2 linked regions of the Tribolium castaneum genome follow. Each later gene encodes a partner of the first gene's protein in a complex. Links are inferred from orthologs where the notes say so. Each region holds a gene or a part of one and is shown on either strand. Other genes may lie near its edges. The genes, in order: serine/threonine-protein phosphatase 4 regulatory subunit 1 and PPP4R2r.

The links.
Region 2: serine/threonine-protein phosphatase 4 regulatory subunit 1 (region 1) and PPP4R2r share a complex: the UniProt entries of both Homo sapiens proteins name them as parts of the PP4 complex. The link is inferred for Tribolium castaneum from reciprocal best matches to the Homo sapiens genes PPP4R1 and PPP4R2.

What each region holds. Positions count from the first base shown.
Region 1 is NC_087394.1:36,818,369-36,821,314, reverse strand, and holds the end of serine/threonine-protein phosphatase 4 regulatory subunit 1, read left to right. Parts: coding exon 1-149; intron 150-449; coding exon 450-528; intron 529-717; coding exon 718-1,325; intron 1,326-1,375; coding exon 1,376-1,646; intron 1,647-1,697; coding exon 1,698-1,855; 3' UTR 1,856-2,122; downstream 2,123-2,946. Other genes in the region: selenoprotein F, read left to right, coding at 2,123-2,170, 2,218-2,333, 2,382-2,709; uncharacterized protein C16C10.8, read right to left, coding at 2,741-2,946. UniProt on the Homo sapiens protein: Regulatory subunit of serine/threonine-protein phosphatase 4. May play a role in regulation of cell division in renal glomeruli. The PPP4C-PPP4R1 PP4 complex may play a role in dephosphorylation and regulation of HDAC3.
Region 2 is NC_087402.1:9,726,606-9,731,043, forward strand, and holds the start of PPP4R2r (serine/threonine-protein phosphatase 4 regulatory subunit 2), read left to right. Parts: upstream 1-1,356; 5' UTR 1,357-1,499; coding exon 1,500-2,378; intron 2,379-4,438. Other genes in the region: uncharacterized protein LOC107397720, read right to left, coding at 704-979. UniProt on the Homo sapiens protein: Regulatory subunit of serine/threonine-protein phosphatase 4 (PP4). May regulate the activity of PPP4C at centrosomal microtubule organizing centers.

The sequences.
Region 1 (2,946 bases):
TAATTTTGAATAGTGAGAGTGAAAAAGAAGACGATAACTTACACTTGTACAATTCATACAATTATTGGTATATAAGACCTGAAATGCCATTAGATCTCAGTTTAATCGAGGAGATTCAAATCGATCGAGGTAAAGTGGACGATACAACGGTGAGTAATTCATGCTTCTACTAATAACGTCACGAGTGTGTCATCATAAATTGCATGGCTTTTTTAATAATTAAGTGTAATTTTTAACGCTCGTTAATACCTCATTTTCGTGACGTAACTGTAAGTATTTTCTTGGTAATTTATGATGATACATTTTAGATTTTTTTGTGATGAAATTTAACGACGGTCTTCTGAGACGTACGTGAAGTCACCCAAAACGTTATTCTGAAACTATTTCAATGATGAAAAATACGTTGCGTCAGAGTTTTATTTACTGAAACGTTTTGTTTTTTATTGTAGGCAGGAGATACATTTGCTGAGATTAATTTAAATGAAAATTTGGCCGAAAGTAACAAAAATGATGCCCCAACTGATACAGGTAAGGTTTAGTAAATGTTTACTTACTAGTTACTTAGTATAACTAACTGTTAACTGACCAAAAATGATTAGAACATACAAAACGACAACCGTGAAGATAATTTTGTATAAGGCAGACTATGATTTTTTTGTTTTTTCTTAAATGCACTCGCGAAATGAGGGTCAAATATTGCACGATTTTTTTTTTCAGCTTCGGAGTCGAAGGAGGTTGCGAAAACCGAGCCGGTGCAAGACATTGTTCCTCAAGTGTTGATATCTCATTACTTTTTAATGACGGATTCTTCGTTTTCCTCAAATATAGACAACGAGATGTCGTACCATTGCGCCTATTCACTGCCGGCAATCGCACTAACGTTAGAAAATAAAAATTGGCCACTTTTAAAACGTACCATCGAATTATTGGCTAGTGATATGCATTACAAAGTACGAAGAACTGTAGCGAGTAGTTTACACGAATTAGCGTTTATTTTGGGTCAAGACATCGCATCGGAACATTTAACACCAATTTTCGAAGGCTTTATCAAGGATTTGGACGAAGTCCGAATAGGAATTTTGCGAAATTTGGCCTACTTTTTAAAGATTATTAAACCGGCCAAAAGATTGGCGTGCTTGCCTCGGCTACAGGAGTTTTTAAAAACGGAAACTGAATGGAATTGGCGATTCCGTCACGAGTTGGCTAAGCAGCTCCTGTCTATTGTTACACTCTTCAAACCAGTGGATTCGGCCAAACATATTGGGGTTATTGGGGAAGTTTTGCTATTTGATGTTTCCGCCGTGCGCCAAATTGCGATTTCTTTGGTAGTTATTTTTTAGTTTTAATAGTGGCAGTGTTTAATTTTAAATTACAGATCACCGAATTGTTGAGGCACATTTCATCAAAGCCCGATCTCAGCTCACTTTACCTAGTCAGATTAGTGGAGAAATTTGCTCATTCGAAAAAATGGAAGAGGAGACAAACGTTTGCCCTCCTGTGTTACAAACTTTTATCGGCCAAAGCCTTGCCTGCGGAAAAATTTGCAACCGAAATTATGCCTCATTTGTTGGACTTGAGTTGGGATCCAGTGGCTAATGTGAGATTAGTTGTGGCAAAAACAATCGCACAACATGTTATTCCCAACGGTGAGTGCTTCGAGTGTTGCGTTTTTGTGTGATTTATTTTTTTGGTTTCAGAGTATTTTGCGGATCCCAGTAATCAACATTTCGATAGTTTAGGAACTGTAATAAGGAGGCTCCAAGCCGATAAGGATCGTGATGTGCGTCAGTATGCGGAAATCAGTGATAAATTTGAATCGGTCTCACCTACACTTAGTTTGGATTACATTGACTAAATAAATTACAGTAAAGTTGTTTTGTTTTTATTCTTGGGTTTATGAACTTTGTTGTAATTTTAATTAAATCTTGTGAGCTATATACATTGTAATATTTATCTATAAGTTGTAATATAAGTAAAAACAATAAATTTAAACAATTGTCCTACGTAAAGGTTTTTTCCTACTTACACTTTACCTGACGTAGTTATAGATAATGCGCAAGTGCAGAAAGTTTGAGGTTATGTAATTCCTAACAATTTGATTTATTAGTTGATTCGGTTTAAAATGATGAAAGGTTCAATAATTACGTTAATTCTCACCTCCCTTTGTGCCGTAAGTGCCCTCCCAAGTGTTAATCAAGCCCTAAAAATAACTTTCAGACAAAATGCCTTTCCGAATTCACTACAGAAGACTGTTGGGCCCTCGGCTTCAACAAGGCAAATTTGTTGTGTTCGTCATGTGAGCAGCTCTCTAAATTCAATCTGGACGTGATAAAGTACGCATTTCGTCCCAAATTATCGTTTTTTTTTAATTAGTTTCTTAGGGACCATTGCAAGGAGTGTTGCCACCAGGACGAGTCAGCCACCGTGGAAAAGAAATACGCAAAGGCGGTTCTAGAGGTTTGTACTTGCAAATTTGGGGCGTATCCGCAGATTCAGGCGTTTATTAAAAGTTCCCGGCCTTTGCAATTTCCTAACCTACAAATTAAATACGTAAGGGGGCTTGACCCCATCATTAAATTGTACGACAAGGATGGGACGTTGCAAGAGACCGTTGCTATTGAAAAGTGGAACACTGATTCAGTTGAGGAGTTCTTGAAAACTCACTTACAACAAGACGATGATGATTATTTAAGAACAAATATGATTTAGCTATAATAAAAAACGAGTGATTTGGAATTGTTTATTGCTCATTCGTCACCAGTGAGACAACATCGTCATTTATCACAACATTCGGTAATTTCTTCAATTTTTTGTTGTACTTCTTGACTGTCTTTTCGGTGTGTTCGCACCCTGTTTCCTTCACATATGCGTTGAGAACCTTCTTTTGCAACTTCTTACACGAAATACTGCCTTTTACACTCAGAATTCTTAAAATTGTTCCCTTGA
Region 2 (4,438 bases), on another chromosome or scaffold:
GTCTCCAGTGGGAAGAAATATGAGTCGGAAGCTCATGAGTCGGAGCTAATACGGTGTAGAGTATATAAATTAAATTTAATGGCCTATCAATTTCACACAAAAAAAGTTAGTCAACATCGGCTACTTTGAAGTAAAACAACTGCTTGAATGTTTACATTTTATGTTTTTGCTAAATAGCATGTCGCTACAAGCCCTTCAAGTTTTATTGCTTGTTGAAAGGAGTAAAAGTTTTTGTCGGACCGACAATAATTTCTGTTTTGTGCTGTGTGCTGGTAAACAATTTTGTTGTTGCTAGTTTCTTTTTAGTTCCACATAGAAAATATTTATCTATTTTCTTTACTGTAACTATTATATAATTAAATAAACACATACAAGCAGAGTAAAATGAAACAATACGTTGATTCGTTTTTATATCTGGGCCAGTGTGTTACTTTTTGCAAAAGTCGCCCGCTTGCATCTGTAAGAGTTCTAAATTCTAATTAACACAAATCTTTTAAAGCGATTACGCTCGGGTATAGGGCTGCCTTACAAAAGAAAATAATCCTCATACGTGCGCAAAATGATACAAATACATAACAAATAATATATTTACAAACAATTCGGTATTATAAAAGATAAACAGAGTATATCATATTCATAAGCCACGTTAAAGCTATGTACAAAATAAAACTTACAAGGTATTTTTCTCTTACAATTATGAATTTTAAGCGTTTATTTTAAGTTCGTTTCTCAGGATTTTGCCGCTGGGGTTCCTTGGGATCGACTCGACGAATTTAACACCGCCGGCGATTTTTTTGTAATGGGCCACTTTGGGGTTTATGTAAAGTAGGATGTCGTCTTCACTCAGGCTGCTCCCGGGTTGGCGCACGACGAAAGCTCGGGGCACTTCACCGGCCAAAGCGTCCGGAATACCCACAACAGCACAATCGGCCACTCCGGGCATCTCCAGGAGCAGATTTTCAAGCTCGGTGGGCGACACCTGTTTACAAAAAAATAACGATTATTTCTTACGTAAATATTTAACAACGCGTAATAAAAAGAGTATAAAGTATGACTTCGTAACGTTAAATTCCAGGTGCCACGTAATAAAATAATTAAGGTGTGTTTTAAATTCAAATTAAAAAAAATTTTTGAATTAAAAACCACAGGGTATGCAACCAGTTATACAAAAAATCCGAGTGTTCGCAGAGAAAATATTTTTAGCGAAATCTCGGTGTCGCTCACCCGGTTTTTGCACACGTGTTAGACTTTGCGCTGTTGCTGATTATAATTTTTAATGACTGTACTTTAAAATCAAATAAAATTGTCTCGCGTTTAAATTGATAAATGACCACGTCCTTAAAATAGGCGCGCGGTTGCGCAGTTCGTCGATCACGTCCTACTTTGAGTGGAATGATATTGAACCGGCGCTAACTTCGTTATTGTCATTGGTGCGCTTGTTGACGCAAGTAGATGGTGATCGGTGGTGCTAAAATTTCGCGAAAAAAACAATAACAATAATGGAAAATCCCGAAGAAATACTCCACAGTTTAGAGGAATTCTCGAAAACCAAGCCCAAGGACATACCGCGCGAACTGGAGGAGTACCTTTGTTTTGTGGCGAAAACAGGGGACCCTGTGTACCAGTGGTCGGCAATAAAGAGCCTCTTTCGCGAGAAGATGATTAACGTTATAACGGAGTTCTACGAGACGTGCCCTTCGGTCGAGATACCCCCTTGTCCCAACGTGGACATTTTCAATTACGACCTTATGAAGAATTTTATTTTAGAGAAGTTGGACACGTTTGCGGCGGCCCCCTTCACGTTACAGAGGATTTGCGAGCTGTTGACGACTCCGAGGAAGGAGTACAATCGGATAGACAAGTACATGAGGGCCCTGGAGAAGAATATCCTAGTTGTGAGCACCACTGAACCTGGGGGCAGGAGGAACACGGAGAACGGGGAGGGCATTATGAACGGGTTGGAGTCGGAACATTTGCCGGAAACTAGCAATAGCAGCAATGACATCAACGTGGAAGAAATGGACGATGCGCCAGCTTGGCCTAGATTGCTACAGAACGAAAATGTTCCATATCAAAATGAGAATAGCAACAGTAATGACATTCAAACCCAGCCAATTGTACAAGAAACGGTGGTCACCGCGTCTAAGCTACCAGATGTGGCCTGCAGCTCGTCTCAAGACACTGTCATAACGTGTCGAAGCTCAGAGGAGCCCTACGTTTCGATTGAACCTGTGCCATCAAATACTTGCACCAGATCAGACCCAGATGAGACGGATGTCTCGGTTACCATCACTGCCATACCTGCAGGGGTCCAAAAGAGACGAAACAGTGTCGAACCGGTCGTTTCGTCAGAAACCGAAGAAATCACCGAGTCTTGTGTAAGTACCAAGTTTTGATCAAAGTGTCCATGTGTTTGAAGTTGGCAACATTAATTGCTAAATGGTCACGTCACACTCAGGACAGTGTTGCCAGGCCTCGCAAAATTTCACCAAGTTTTGTGATTTCGTAATTTCAAAATTTCTTCGAAAATTACTAAATTAAAAAACTGTTATCAAACCATTAAAATCACAAAATCCCTCGATGTAGTTAGTTTAGGAGCGAAATTTCGTAAAAAAAGTCAAAAAACCGTAAATAGATTTTAAAATTGTTATTTTTAGCTTTTCAAGCACGTTTTTGAATAAAATGCAATGTGTTTTTCAAGATTTTACAAAATTTTGTTCGTTCTATTCGCCTCTTTTATTTTGAAAAATCTTGTTAAAACGCGCCAAAAAAATACAAAAATAAATGAAAATTGATGGTTTCACTTAATTTGCTCATTTTTGAACAAAATTTCGTAGTAAAATACCCTAAAAGACGCAAAATTTGTGTGGAAATGGTGTTATTTTTTTTAATTTTTTAAGTATTAACTAAGCTATATTAACAAAATTTTCTTGAGAAGACCGAAAGTTAAGAAATAAGAAAAAGAAAGTCGGAAATATCATTATTTCTTCCTTTTTTGTGCGTGTGGACATATTTTACAGTCCGAAATGTAAATATTTCGTAAAATTTTGTTGTAAAGAAGCTTAAAATTTGCCAGCTTTTTTTAAAAATGGTGATTCTATGCATTTTCTATGCATTTAAACGTATTTTTAACGCGAAATATTTTTTCCCTTTTGAAAGAATATCTAAAAAATACGCAGCTTAGATTGTCTCGCTTGGTTTAGTTTTATTTATTTTGCAAAATCTTGCTAAAACGCCTCAAGAAGAAACCGAAATTTCTTAGGAAAAAACATGTAAAAGCGCATTTTTGGAGTTATTTTTCACCATTTTCAAGTTTTTTTTTCTTGTGAGAATGAGCATGTTTTAGAGCCTGAAATGCAAATTTAATAAAATTCTGGTCAAAACAAGTCCAAAATCCACCAAATTACGCTAAAAATTGTGCTGTTTTACATTTTTTGAGGATTTAGACGTATTTTAAAAACGAAAATAATTTTGCAAAAATTATATTAAAATTAGTATCAATTGGCAAATTATGTTGTAGTGTAGTAGTAGATTAGTAGATGTTTTTTAGCTTATTTGATTAGATTTTATTCGTCTTTAAACCTGTCTCCTTTATTTTGCAACATCTAAAACGCTTCAAAGAAACTGATGGTATTTAACTGTTGCACTTGAAAAAACTCAAAATGTGTTAGAAAGTGTTGTTATTTTTTTATTCCCTTTCGAGATTACAGCAAAATTACAAAATTAGATTGAAAATAACATTATTAGTTTTTGTGCAAAATTTCTTAGAAAAAAATCTGAAAAGGTACATTTTTTTGGAAATGGTGTTATTTTTTAACTTTTTCATGTATTTTTTTTCTTTAGACAAGACCAAAAAATTAAGCTGGAAATATTCTTTCTGTATTTTTTGTGTGTATGAGCATGTTTTAGAGTCAGAAATGCAAATATTTTATAAAATTTTGTTCAGAACAAACCCAGGATTATGCTATGGTGCTATTTTACCTTTTTTGAGCATTTAGGTGTATTTTAAAAACGGAAATAATTTTTTCTTTCGAAAAATTGTACTATAATTTACATACAATTGGCTTAACAATAAACAAATTATATTATAGTGTAGTAGTAGATATTCTTTTTGCTCATTTTATTAGATTTTGCTCGTCTTTGAACCAGTTTCCTTTATTTTGCAAAGATCCAAAATACTTCAAAAAAATTGATGGTGTTTTACATGATTTACTATTTTTGAGTCAACTTGCTTGAAAAAAATATACGAAGAAACGCAAAATGTGTTTGGAAATGGTGTATGTTTTAATTTTTAAAATCTCTTTGAAATGAATAAAAAATTACAAAATTAAATAGAAAAACACATTTCTTTTTGCAGTATTTTTTATTCTTGCAAATGTGCATGTTTTACATTATGATTTTTACCAAAGTATTGCCTTTCCGCGCGTTTACGCACGTT